Linked DNA regions of Caenorhabditis elegans. The protein of the gene in region 1 purifies or fractionates together with the protein of each later gene. This does not show direct contact. Each region holds a gene or a part of one and is shown on either strand. Other genes may lie near its edges. The genes, in order: hrg-7 and lbp-4.

Region 1 (7,675 bases):
CTTCCAAAATAAACTTTTATGCCAAGACTGATAACGTAGTCATTTTTGATTCGTCCTCAAAATTGTTTATCGACCTAAAATCAAACTGTTTAATTCCATATTTTACTGTTTTCCTATTGGGTTTTTAATCAAAAACACAATATTATAACAAAGGAAAAACAAATAAACACTGAAAAAATAATAACGTTCTCAAAATTCCTCGTTGATTAAAAAATTGCAATCGAAAATTTAATTCAATTTCTATTCAGGAGGAAGTATCTCGCCTTCAAGAAGATGCAGAAGAACGTGGAAAGGATAAATCTCAAGTTTATGAAAACTTGGAGCTAAGTATCAAACATGAAAAACTGAATCGAAAAGCGCGGAAACTCGAAAAATATATAGAAGAGAAAATAATTATCCATAGAGAACTCTAGAAACCCTTGTGATTCTTCATGCAATCTAATCATGTCACCTATCGTATCATATCATAATGAGAGCTCATTTCTACCTGCATTTTTGGCCATAATAATGATAATTACAGACGTCGTTTGATTTTATAATTCTTCTATTTTTCTCCATTGTTCTTCTCTTGTCACGTGTATATTTTGTTCGTAAGCTACTTCAGATTGTGATAATTTTGTACTTTCGGTCTTTTTTTGTATTTCAATTGTGATAGAATTCATGGTGCTGTATCTAATTTTATTGTGATCATCTGAAACCCTCCAGCACCCAACCCCGCCCCCAAGGTTATACGTATAAAAATCTTGAAAAGTATGTGATATCAGTGCTCCATTTATTTGTTCTCTTCATGCGTTATCATTAAGCAGACGCCTTTCCAATATCTTATTCTTATCACTTTCATTTTTTAAACATTTTCATGTTGCCATCTGTTGTGTGCCTTCTTCTTTTTTGAAAATCAAATTTCCAGATGTTCGATCGTCTTCTGTCGCAATTCGGCCGTAAGCGTGTCGCTTCGGAAAGTGTTGCCACTCAACAACAGCTCACTGACAGAACCAACGTCTACACGGTTAAACCACAAGATCCACTTCTTGGTAAGCTCAATTTTTTTTTCATTAAAACTATTTTCAAAAAACTACAGTAATCATTAGAGTTACCGAAATCTAAGACTATTCTTTTTTAAATCCGAAATAGCCAAAAACTACCAAATTTCGTAATAAGACATTCTGGGAATTTCTGGAAAAAATTAATGGCAGTTTAATATTTTGGAAAAAATACTCATTTTCACCAAAAATCTCAAATTTACCAAATATTCATAGGTTTTTTTCTACTTCTTTTATAGGTGGGTTCTCCATCATTTCGAAAATTAATTTTACAAGATAGTATTTCAAAAAGTGTGTCACCAATTGGTGAATAAAAAGTTCAAATTTAAAAAAAATTATGGTTTTATTAGAAATTCTAATAATGTATTTGTTTTCAGACAAGAAGCAAAAGATGACACCGGTGCAAAAAGTGTGTCTAAAGTGCCTTGCTGGTGAGAGTGGCCACATCACACATGTTCTCTCCAGTCTCTCGAATTGAGAGCTCAAAAATTCAATCTGTATCATTTTATTACTTTTTCACTTTTCTTTTCTTTGCTAAGTGTTAATTTATCTATGTTGTTTTTATCTCTTTCCCAAAGAGCATTATCTTGTTGTTTTCATTTTCCATCTTAATTGGCAAACCATTTGTACATATGTACTTGTATTTCAAATCCCCGTTTCCCTCCATTCTTCATATGCAGTAAGTACAACTACCACCATAATTTCGAAAATGTTTCGAAAAATTATTTCATTTCAAAATAAATTGTTTTGATTGTAAAGTTTTTATTAAATTTTAGAATTTATTATTCGTTGATGTGAGATTCATTGGATTTAGAGAACCTTTGCAAGGCCAAGTCTTCCGCTCTTCATGTCATGTACGTGGCAATAGGCACGCATAAAAGGTGGTCCGAGCATCCAAGCTGGATAGAATCCTCCAGCAGTTAACTCATAAAATGCAAACATGCATGGCCCAGGTCCAGCAGATACAACGAATGATGTTGATGGCATATTATATGTTTTTCCGTTAATTGTGAATACAATATCTGGGACAACAGCGTCACAATCCATGAAGAATGCACCCGTAAGTGGAACATATGTGGCTCCAACTCTGAAATGATATTTATATAAATTTTAACAGTTTTTCACACAACGCATTATTTTATTTATGAAATAGTGCAAATTCTCACTGAATAACTATTTTTTGAAAATCTACAGTAACCCAGAACGGGCTTCGTGCTAAAAGTTTTATGATAAATTCCAACTTTTTATGTACACTTCAGGCTTTGAAATTTTGTAAATTTCATTTTCAACACAAAGAAAACAAATAGTTTAAATTTGGCACACTATCACTGAGATCGTGGCGAGACCCACTCAAAAAAACAGCTTGCACCTTTAAACTGAAATGTCAAATTTTCGCGAAATCACAATATCTAATAACTGTAAAGTTCTCTGAAAAAATCAGATGCGTAAATTAATACGGCCGTGACTAAATTTGTTGGGGCAAAGCTATAGGATTTAGAGATACTAAACGGTCTACAGCGTATTGCTAAACTCACGCCTTGGCAAGACTGGTAACAACACTCTTTGGTGCTCCGATGAATGATGCAGCTGTATCAGCAGCTGCTTGCCATCCAGAGTTTGGAGCTTGACTGTATGACCCAGATGATACTCTGGAAAAGTAATTAAGATAGTTTTGTTTATCAAGGTAAAAAATATCTTACCCTCCGAGCTTAAACTGCCAGAAAGTTTGAGTGGATAGTGGAACCCAGTCGACATTAGAACTACAATGAGTTGTATCGAGACCTCCAACGGTGAATGCTCCTCCATTGATTTGGGAAGTTGGACCAATGTTGGCAAGATATACGACAAAGTATGGTTGATCAAGTTTTCCTTGATTCATCAAATTGAACAATGGTGGAGTTTGTTGGTTTACGGCTAGAGCAGGCCATCCAAGACCAATGATTCCATCTTCTGGTTGTTTTGCAAAAGCTTCTCCGATTGTGGTGGCTTGTCCGAAAACTTGGCCAGTGGCACAGACGGATGTGTTAGTGAACTAAAATATCGTTGATTTGGGGAGTGGAAAATGAATAAATTCAAATTGACGAGAGAGAGAGAGAGAGAGAGAGAGAGAGAGAGAGAAATCTAAAACAATCTAAAAAGAGAAAACTTACACAGAAAGTATCAACTCCAAAGAATCCCTTCACTTCTCCAGTGTTATAAGTCATATCAAACTTTTGTCCATTGGTCACATATGATGATGAGAGAGATGAATTGAACCGATGCTTAGACTGGCAAGCGTCAGTGGTTCTGCAAAATACCTAATGCTATAGCTGAACAGAGAATGATGCATACGAAAGAACTTTAACTCCTTCAACGGTTTTGGTACAGCATTCCTCTTGACAGAAAGTCAAACAAGCATCATATGGAGTCTGAAATATTGGATAATGCATTCGATTCTTTGAGTTATTAAACTCACAGATTTACAGTAACTTCCACAAGTGGCATCTTTTCCTCCAGCACATGTGATATCTGGGACCCACAAGTTAGAAGAACCAGAATCGATAAAAAGAACAAAGTTCTGAGCTGGGCTTCCTAAACTAATTTGAACCATGTATGCCATATCCTCATAATCAATAACTGGGGACGAGGATGATGCCAATTGAAGGCTCTTCTTTGACAGAAGTTCGTTGCGTTCCTTTTCATATTCTGCCAATTTTCCTTTGGCATTCATACGTTGACGCATGTTTGGTCGGTATCTAATAATGGAAAATTGAGCTCAATTAATCAGTAAAACTTACCCAATATTAAATTGGTGGACTTCTGCAGAGACCACAGTCAAGAGAGCTAACAATGCAATAAACGTCTTCATGGCTTCCAACTTTTTTCCCCTAATTTAACCTGTAAATGTATTATATAGCTTGAATTAATTGAAACTGGTTGACGAAAACAAAACTGCAGCGAAAAATTAAATGGAAAACTCACTTCTTTTCGGCACTATCAGTTCGGCATTGGAATATATAGTATGAGATAGGAGGAGCAGACATATGATGCAACTAATGACTATCATATTATGTCTCTTATGGGCGGCTTGATGTTGAAGTTCGCCGATTTCTTTTCAGAATTGAACCCGGATTGATAAACTGTGCTTTGTGATTCGTTGAAGTTTGTCATGTTTTTGTTGTGTTTAGCACAATTTTGTCAGTTTTAATGCTTTTATTTATGTACGCAATTATTCGAACAAGGAATGGTAGTCAAGGTAGTCTCAAACGTCAAAACGAATTGAATATCATCTGAAACTAACTTTAATTTAGGCTAGCTTACCACACACATTTAGAGCAGATCTTACCTCGGATTCCTTCAAAGTTCTGACCCGAAAATTCTCAACCAAAAATGGTGCCGATTTGTCAAGTTTTAAAATTACTTCAAAATAATCTATTGGTGCCGAAGGATAATAAACATAAGTGGCCTGCTTTTTTTTAAAAGGAGCTTGGATTCCATAAAAAAAATGAACTGAAAAAAATTCAGATCATCATTTGAAAGGTTCGTTTGACCGTTGGAAATATTTTTTTGTCTCTAGATAAAATCATACGTTTTTACTGCAATACAACTTATTTCGAAGGCTATTTTGACGAGAATTATTTGATTGATTAAACCTGGAGACTAAAATTCAATAAATAATTATTTTTGAAGTATTGTAAATTTTTTCAGTAATGCTTTATCTTGTGGAATAAAAAACAATAAAATATTTATTAAAACTTACAAAGAGGAGAATTATAAAATTGAAAGAATGATATAGTCAATATGTGAAAGCTCTTGTAAATCTACCCGGATAAATACTGATAATGAATGAAAATGAAAGACATCAATTGAAAAGTCTATAATGGAAATAAATATAAGAGATAAATTTGAGTAATGGAATGAAATGAGATACTAGAGTACTAATTTTCAATTATTTTATACAGCCCAACTTCGTTTTCGGTTGTAATAATCAAAATGGTAAGGATGCGGAGGTTGGGAATGATGTAGGTGTTGATTGAGATGTTGATGATGGAATAGAAAGTTTGATTGTCCGTAATTTGATGGAGGACATGACATGGGAGGAATTGGAGTCATTTGAAGAGGATGATTCGGTTGGGATTGATGCTGTTGTTGGAGGTGGTGTTGATGTTGCATTGCAAAATTTCCATCAAATAGTGCTGGTCCTAGATATTTGTACAATTCGGCGGAATCAAATGCATTTGGCATAGAATGACGATGACCAAAATTAACATTTGAAGGAAATGAATGAGCTGGGGATGTTGCTGGAGATTGCTCAACTTGCCGAAGAATTTCGTCCACTTCATCTTTAAGCTCTGGGAGCACGTCATTTGAAGGTAAAATGTCTTCAAGAATGTCTAATGGGAATGCATTATGATGAGGAAGTAAAGATGTATGAAGGGATGCAGAACTCTCCGGTGATGATGACTCGGGGGTAAATAATGGAATTTGAGTATTGATTGGACGCATTGGAATTTCCACTTTTATCTGAAAGTTCATAAAGTTAAAATTAAATCGAAGTTTTACGTTCTAATCACCTGATTGTAATCCAATGACGGAAAACCTGGTGCGATTCCTGCTCCAATAAGAGGCTTCTGCTCAACGAGCATTGGCGGCTGCTCAGTGAATGGTGGAGTTTGCGGACTTGATGGTTGTTGTTCTTCGGATGGTGGTGGAGAATCTTGACATGAAAAAACTGTTGGGTAAGTGTGTCGCATGCTGTAGATCCAGGAATTCGCTTGAAGAGTCGCAGCTTCCAGATCACTGAAAAATTTAATTGTAGGGTCTAGCTTGGAGTTACGGAATATTTGTAAATCTTTGAAGGAGCTTTTCTGTAAATACTCTAATAATCATGTAACTTAACCCACTCAATATAATACTAATAACCTTCAAATCATATTAAATTTTAGAGACATTTCTGCCGAAGTTTTGGTAATATTCCAAATTTTGAGCAGTTTAGAACGATCTCGAATGTTTGAGATGTCTATGTACAACGTTTACAACATAATAGATAAAGCATAATTATAAAAATACGAAATCTTAGAAAAAATTGTTCTTAAGGATTTCCAAAGTTATGAGTGTATAGAACTCATAGTAAATAGAAAAGTAAAAAAAAACATATTTTTTTTACATTTTTGTTGATATGTGGAGTGGTTTTGGACGGGAAAAAGTCTTAAACTATTTTCGCGTTCATAAAACTTACGTAAGTTTCTGATGGAAGCAGTGTATAACATGACGAAGTCTTTTTCCATCACTATTCAACTCATTATTTGGTCGAATTGAGAATACTGTATGCAACCATATCCATTCTCCATTTGCAGCTTGTAATCGAATTAATGCAAGAACTGACCCTTCTTTCTCTTGACATACTGAAAAAAATTATGTAAAAGTATTTCACACAGTATCTTAAAACATACATAATCGATGTTTATGAGCAATTTCGGGTACATGATTAGGATGAATCATTCCGTACCAAGACATTCCTTTCAATTGCTCTTTACTGAATCCCAAATGTTGAGAGGCCCTGAAATTGATCAATAATAAAATTCAAGTTTTTAACATTTTTCATGCTTACATTGTATCGGCTTCCTTAAATTTCATATCCAAATAATGTTGAGTACTAAACACATGTGTATTTCCAGTGGACATTCCTTCAGCATTTTCTGGATTTATAAGAGGTTGACAATAAGCCGAGAAAACTGGCTGATCACAATCAGGTTGAGAGTTTTGAGCATTCAATTGTTGATAAAATTCGGCAGGTTGAATATATCGACCTTGGAATAGGACGAACTGAAAATCCCAATTTTTGCTTTGAAATAACATATTTTTGGCATTTGGCATGTCCCCAATGCAAAGTTAGCATGACTTCGAAAAAAATGATAGTATTCTAAATGAAGTTAATTCTTACTTTATGATACTGTAACTGTCGTTTTGCAGTTCTTGCCAAATTCAATCGACATATGAATACTCTTTCCTCCGGAAAAGTTGCAGCTCCTGGAGGTCCACTTGCAAGTTCTGCCTGTACAGCACCATGATCTCTCCCATCCACCAAATCATAAATTGAATCTCCCTGACACATAATCTCTTCAACTGAATGTCCCAGGTACTCGCTTGCATTATCGGAAACATGAAGTATTTTTCCACTTCTCGTGACCATTAACATGAATCCTCGAAGAGCTTTGCAGATATCGATGCCACGTGGCATTGGAGATGACATCTGCATTTGTAACATTTGCAGCTGGGGTTGTAGAACTGTTTGTTGATATCTATGTTTCCGTATGAAAATACACCCAAGGGACATCACTTGTAACTGGAAAAGTCGATCCTTGATAAGATCTGATAGAGGAAGAAGATCTCGAAGCTTCTGAATCTCCACATTGATCTGATCTCTGCGTTGCTTTGAAGCTCCACGAGTTGACCTAGAAAATACGAATTGTTTGTATAGACTGTGACGCAATATGTTAATTTCTTGGCGCATGAGAAATGAAGAACGAATGTTTGCATTGGTATCCGAGGGGAGAAAGTTTAGATTGTGAAACGGTTTGAAAAGCTTCATCTCTAAATTTCCCGGGGTGAGAAGATTTACTTTTAATTTCAAATAAAATAATGTTCGTGAAATT
Region 2 (6,346 bases), 4.9 Mb from region 1:
CATACTTACTAGGTTTCAACAATAATAATTTTGAAAAAAAAACATTTCTACAAGTTTTAATTCTTGTTGCATTTTAATTGTTTATATTAAGATATTCTAGGACTCCCAAGCTACATTAGTCCTAACCAAAACCACCACCTAACCAAATTAACCAAATTAACCAAAAAGTCCAAAATTTTTGAAAAACTGGCATGTTGCCAAAACTTTGACTGAAAAATTCGAGTGGTATTAACTTTCTATGTGCTTCATTTATTATTTTTTAAACTGCCTTCTACGAAACAAATACCACTCAACTTTTTTGTTTAGATTGATATCACAAAATAATGTTAATGTAGCTATATTTCTATTCCGACTAGTGCCCCGTATTTTGAGCATTTTTTTAAAATCGAATTAAAAAAAAAAAAGTTTAACTGAAAAGTTTGAAAATCACCAAGATTTTTTGTGTGTTTTTATTTGTGTTTTTTTGTGAAACAATTTCATACTAAACATGCCCAAATTTCAATAAACAAATTCAATTTTTGGCCATCACGTTGTAAAAATTTAGTAATATTTTTTTGAATTTTAGCCTTTATCTACTTGCAAAAAAAATCAACGACCGAGCTCTAAACAGACTTGTGTTTCCTTTTTTTAAATTATTACGTTGAAAAACTTCACAAATTCAGTTTATTAACAAGTTGCAAGTTTAGCTTTTTAAAAAAAATTGAATGCCGTTACTTATAAAAATAATTCTAGCAATTTTTTGATCTTTTTAGAAGTTTACAAAATTCTAGTTTTTTTTCATCCAAAATTGTTCCTATAATTAAATCCCAAGAAGCCCTTTAAAAATTACATCAATGTTTCGAAGAACTTTTCTCTTCCGGGTACACTTTTCTTTTTGATATTTAGCAAAAATTTGAAAATACCAGATCATTTCCAAGGTACAAGTTTCAAACTTTCGCGCCAAAATTTGATGTATTTCCTGAAAAAAAAACAGCAACCTAATAGATCAGAGCAGAGTTTTCTTTTTCAACTAAACGGTGTCCCATTGTTCTCACTAAGCCAGTGAGCTTTCATCTAAAATTCCAAAGAAGTGAATATTTTATGTGTTGAGTGACAAATACCAAAAAATTCGAAATTTCAAAGCAAAAGAGATATTGGAAAAGAAAAAAGAAGAGTTTTCCGTGTTTTTGTCAAACGACATCTACTTCATAAATGCCCCATCCGTGGGGAAGAAATTGAGAAGAAGAAAAAAGAGAAAAAGCGATGAATGAATGGAAAATATTAATGATGAATATGAGAAAAACAACTGAAATTATTATTTTTTGTTTTTTGGGGTGAACGTAGGAAATTTGTTATAATATTGAATATTTCAATTACCAAATCAGGAAGTATACAATTTTTTACAAGGAGAAATTATTGGAAATGAGAAACCTCGACAGTCTCTTAAAGTAAGAACTTTTGTTAATTTTCTAATTAACCGTACTTGGTTTTTTCAAAAGTACTGAAATTCTGAAGAAATTAAGCCTTATGAAAAGTCTGAAAAGGGATTTTGGAAACAATTACTTTTTTCAGCATTGGGAAAACGGAGAAAAAAACTCATTTTTGAGAATTTTTAGGGTGGCCGAATTTTCTTTTTTTTTCTTCTAGGCTACGCCTTGGTACTAAAAATTCTATCCGAACATAAAAGGAGCAATACAGTTTTAAACTGAAAAGAAATCACGTGGCAATACACGTCATAAAACATAACGACTACAAAACTAAAAGTTTATGCAGTCTTCGCTTGCTTCTCGAAAAACTTGTTATGGAAATGAAATTTGATATCTTCATGCTTTACTAACTAGCTTCTGTGAAGTAGGGAAGAAGATCAGTGAGTGGAATTATATATTCTATGAATCTTTCCATTTTGTTAGGGCAGCGCGGGAATTAGAGCAAACTTTCTCGATTATTTAAAATTTTATTTAAAAAACAAAGTTACTAGTTTAAATATCGTATTTCCTCTATTTGTATTGCATCCCATTGTTCAACTTTGACAACTTAAATATCAGTTATTGTTTGTTCTATTCAAAAATTGTCAACTAACAAAATATTTGTTAGATCTTTTTCTGTCATTTCGTAGTTAATAATATATACTACATCTTTTGAAAGAATTGAGTTATAACGTTTCAAAGTTGAGTAGTAGAGTGCAATACTAATAGAGGAAATACGATATTTATATTATTGCTCAACAATAGCGATTTTCGTAAATATTTTTGCAACACAGCGTTCGCACAAATTATTTTGAGTTCGCGTGATCTTTAAAATAAAACAAGGCAGCAAAACATAAAATCTTCAAACACAAGAGATGCTCTTTTCATCTTCCTGAAATGAGGGAGCTCAAAGAAAAAGAAAACCCGAAAAGTTGTGAATAGCTCCGCCCCGCCTATCTGCGTCTCTGCTTTTTCGGCATTTGATCATTTCGAAAAGTCTGACCAATCTGATTAAAGTATGTATGTGTGTTTGCACTAAAGGCGGCTTTTCTATGGCTCTCGCCTCATAACATTCATCCCATCTTAATTTTTGCAGCTGAAAAATGGGCAAATAGAAGCGGAAAGTAGGAAAAAAGGCGCCAAAATAAGCAAATGAATGACGGAAAAACGGAGAGAATATTTGGCGAGGTGCCAAGCGAGCTCCTACGTGTCAACTTCGATTATACCTCTGTTTTTCGTTGATTTTCCGTGTTTATTGAGTGCCCACAGGAAAACAAAAACGCATACTCGTGAATAAATAAGACATGAAACGAATGTGGCATGTGGAAATGGAGATTTTTTTGGGAATATAAATCTGGAATTTCAGCTGAACTTTTCATTATCTAGTTCATTTGCAAGTATATTTTTTATTTTGCAGTTTATTTTCATCTTCTACTAATAATAGTTTAAATGGGTCGCATTTTATGGTCTTGGCACGAACGCTAAATTAAGAAAAATACAGAACAGTTGACTTAAGAAAGGGAAATGGCGATTTTTCTTTTCTAAAATCGTTAGTTCCATTTCAAAATTGACCTGAACTTTATTTTCACTTATAAAATTTTCACAAATATGTTTCCTCGGAATCTATTTTCCATTAGTCTGTGGTGACTTAATACAGACGCAATCGCGCTCCACCGACACCTAATTATTGTTACCGTTCAATTTAATTCGTTCTTTCATTTATTTCAATTTTTTCCCCGTTTATTTAATTTGCATCATTAAAAAAGTTTTCAGAAAAGGAAAATGTCAGTGCCAGACAAGTTCTTTGGCCGTTATCAGCTCGATAAAAGCGAGAATTTTGATGAATTTCTCTCCTCGAAAGGTGTCAACTGGTTCGTACGGCAAATGATCAAGTTGGCTGGACTCACTAAAATTATCTCACAAAATCAAGAAGCTGGGAAGTGAGTTCAATTAATAATTTTTTTTAACTGAAAATAACCATAACTTTTTATCTGGTGAAAAACTTTTTTAACGAAATTTTTAATTTTTAGAATTTACAACTGTCAACTCTAAAATTGGAAATACGTGAAATTTTTAAAATAAATATGTCACATGCTTCTTTGGCATTTCCAAGTGGTGGAGGAAATCTTTGTCATAAATTTTTCATGTTTTCGTCTAGAGACCACGAAAACATTCAGTTCATCTTGCCTATTCCAGGTACAACATGGAAAATCTAACTTCAAAAAAGAACACCAACTATCAGGCATGGGAACTTGGAAAAAAATTCGAAGCTCCTGGATTGGATGGAAATCAACATGAGGTGAGAACGAAAATTATTTAAATAATTAATTAAAACAATTTCCAATTTCAGATCACTTTCGACTTCAAAGATGAAATCCTTTCGGAGCATCATATTCGCCTGAATGAACCAGAAACCAGCGCAGAGACTTATTTCTACACTATCGACGATCAAAATCAACTGGTGATGAGAATGGAGAATAATGGAATCGTCTGTCGCCGTTGGTTCAAGAGAGTCGAGCAGAAGTGATCTGAATGTTGATTTGATGCTTCTCTGTTAATAGTTAAACCTTATTTATATTATTGTGATTATTTATTGCTGTGCCTTTTTTGTTAATTTTACATTGAGGGTTTGCATAATTGTTTAAGTTTTTGATGAAAAGTTTCAGCTGTTCCTTCTGTGGTTTTGCACTCAACACTTTAAAAAGCAGATGTTCAGAAATGATGTCATTGAAATTGAATGTGGCGTGTTCTTGAATGTTTACCGCAACAAACGGATCAACTTTTCTGGCAAAGTGCCAGCCGTCTCCGATCGCCAGACAGGCTTTACGATGTGAGATGCGCGCACTTTTTGTGTTGACCCGGTCAACTGTGGTTACACTCGGAACACAATTCTGATTACACTTGAAAAACGAAATTGAACAAAAAATATAGAAAATAATCAAAATCAGAACATTATCTGTTTTTGAAATAATTAATCACGGCAAAAGTTCGCAGAAAAACGTCCTTGACGAAAATATTGCGAATTTAAATTTTTTTAAAAAGCTAGAATACGGTACCCGGTCTAGGCACGAAATATTTTTGTTAAATCCAAAAAGATGTGCGCCTTCGAAGAGTACTGTAATTTCGAACTTGTTGCTACGGAATTTTCATCGATTTTTAATAGTTTTTCGATAAAATAGTTATTTATTTACTTATCAAATACTGAAATATAATAATATCATCATATGATGAGTGAAAAATTATGAAAAATCGGTACAAATTCCGCTTAAATAAATGTTTAGGAATTACAGTACTCTTCACATTTTACAAAAATTAGCCGTGTCGAGACCGCGTACCTTTTTTGACACAAAATCACACAATTTCTGGGCATAAGAATATTTTCAGAATATTTTCAGAGTTTTGTCAATATATTATGGTATTTGAAAATTTTAAATTTATTAACAAAATATAAAAACCACGTACAATATTTACCTAGAAACACAAAAAATCGATAATTCAATGACGAAAATTATCAAGAAAATCTACCGTATTCGCGCCTACGGTAGAAAGTATCGGTCGTCGCAGGACCTCGACCATATTTCTATATTTTCTTGAAGGTTTCCGGGTTTTTAAAGGTCACAAATTTGAAAACAACCATTTTCAGTTTATCAGAGTATTTCAGAATTTCTCCGGCAGGATTATTGATCAAATTTTCTGAACCACCGATTTTTCGTTTGTTTATTTTAAATCAACAAAAGTCTTCTGGAACAATCTCAAGACGCCAATGACCCCCCTCCCTCTCACTTTTTTTGTGTTTCTATTTTTCGATGAATTGTCGACTTTGTGTGGCATCCAAAGACACCAAGTGGCCCTGTGTTGCAAAAAGAAAGTCCATCCTTCTGGCGGACGAGAGGAGACTTACAACTTCTTTCCATCCTCTCCTTCCTCATTAATCTGCGAAAGGTTGGTGAGGGGATTTTGGGCCGCCTGCTCGCGCCTGTCACCTCCATAAATAATTGCGATCTCTCTTGTTGCTCCTCTGGTATCTGTCTTCATCTACTTCATTCACACTGACTCATCATTCCGCCACGTTGGAATGTGATTGGAAAAGTGATAGCTGCTGATGTGAAGAGCAAGAAGAGACGAAATGACACGTGTAACTCATTGAAATGCTCATTCGAATGTGCTCTTGCTGTTGTGACACTTTTTGATAAATGCGATTGATGGCGGTTTTGATTTCAAAACATATGTGTGAGTAGTGCTGAAGAATTCTTTGATCTTTCAGAAGATTTCGTAGAACAATTTGGAAAATTTCCTCTGATCATCCGGTTTTATCCGGTTTTTACTTTATAGGTTGCATTTATCGCCTGGTTGCAAAAAAAAACAATTTTTCCAGGTCCTAGAACGAGAGACAATTTTCAGATACCGTACGCTCGATTTTGTCGAAATTTCTATAATTGTTTCAATAAACATCTAGATATTCAATGTAAAAAGCATCAAAATAGTGAACAAAAAATCTAGGAAAAAAAAACTGTAGCTAAAATAAATTAATGGTTTTTAAATATTATTTGGAAAAACATACTACATCGGTAGGTTCATCTTTGCAATTTTTAAAGCTAACTATTATCTCCACTTCTGTTCAAATGCATATTAGCTTCAGGGCTCCAATTCCTACAAGACTTCGCAGTTACTCGAAAGAATTTTCAGAAAACTTTTAGAGATTTTTTCTGGTCATTTTTGTGCCTCATTTTCCAAGTTTGCTTCTTTCAACTGGTTTTACGCAACCCTAGATATGCATGTATTAGGACTACAAGATTTAGTTACTTTATTTCCTAATGTGGCTCAATAACTATTTTTTTACCAGATTTAGAAGTTGGAAAACTTGAACAATAGTTGGGCAAGACTTTTTTTTAATCATAGCT

What was found.
Region 2: the proteins of hrg-7 (region 1) and lbp-4 fractionate together in Caenorhabditis elegans (co-fractionation; one large-scale study listed by BioGRID). This does not show direct contact.

Annotation. Positions count from the first base shown.
Region 1 is NC_003283.11:12,738,283-12,745,957, reverse strand, and holds hrg-7 (Aspartic protease 10), read right to left. Parts: upstream 3,918-7,675; 5' UTR 3,889-3,917; coding exon 3,818-3,888; intron 3,776-3,817; coding exon 3,496-3,775; intron 3,449-3,495; coding exon 3,372-3,448; intron 3,327-3,371; coding exon 3,191-3,326; intron 3,073-3,190; coding exon 2,741-3,072; intron 2,690-2,740; coding exon 2,576-2,689; intron 2,128-2,575; coding exon 1,851-2,127; 3' UTR 1,787-1,850; downstream 1-1,786. Other genes in the region: C15C8.4 (Alpha-2-macroglobulin RAP C-terminal domain-containing protein), read left to right, coding at 249-413; C15C8.7 (uncharacterized protein), read left to right, coding at 908-1,031, 1,418-1,518; PAS domain-containing protein cky-1, read right to left, coding at 4,974-5,543, 5,594-5,819, 6,259-6,424, 6,473-6,579, 6,631-6,845, 6,964-7,474. UniProt on the Caenorhabditis elegans protein: Aspartic protease which plays a role in heme homeostasis and mediates inter-organ signaling between the intestine and extra-intestinal tissues when cellular heme levels are low.
Region 2 is NC_003283.11:7,817,360-7,823,705, forward strand, and holds lbp-4 (Fatty acid-binding protein homolog 4), read left to right. Parts: upstream 1-3,218; 5' UTR 3,219-3,227; coding exon 3,228-3,385; intron 3,386-3,641; coding exon 3,642-3,744; intron 3,745-3,795; coding exon 3,796-3,972; 3' UTR 3,973-4,118; downstream 4,119-6,346.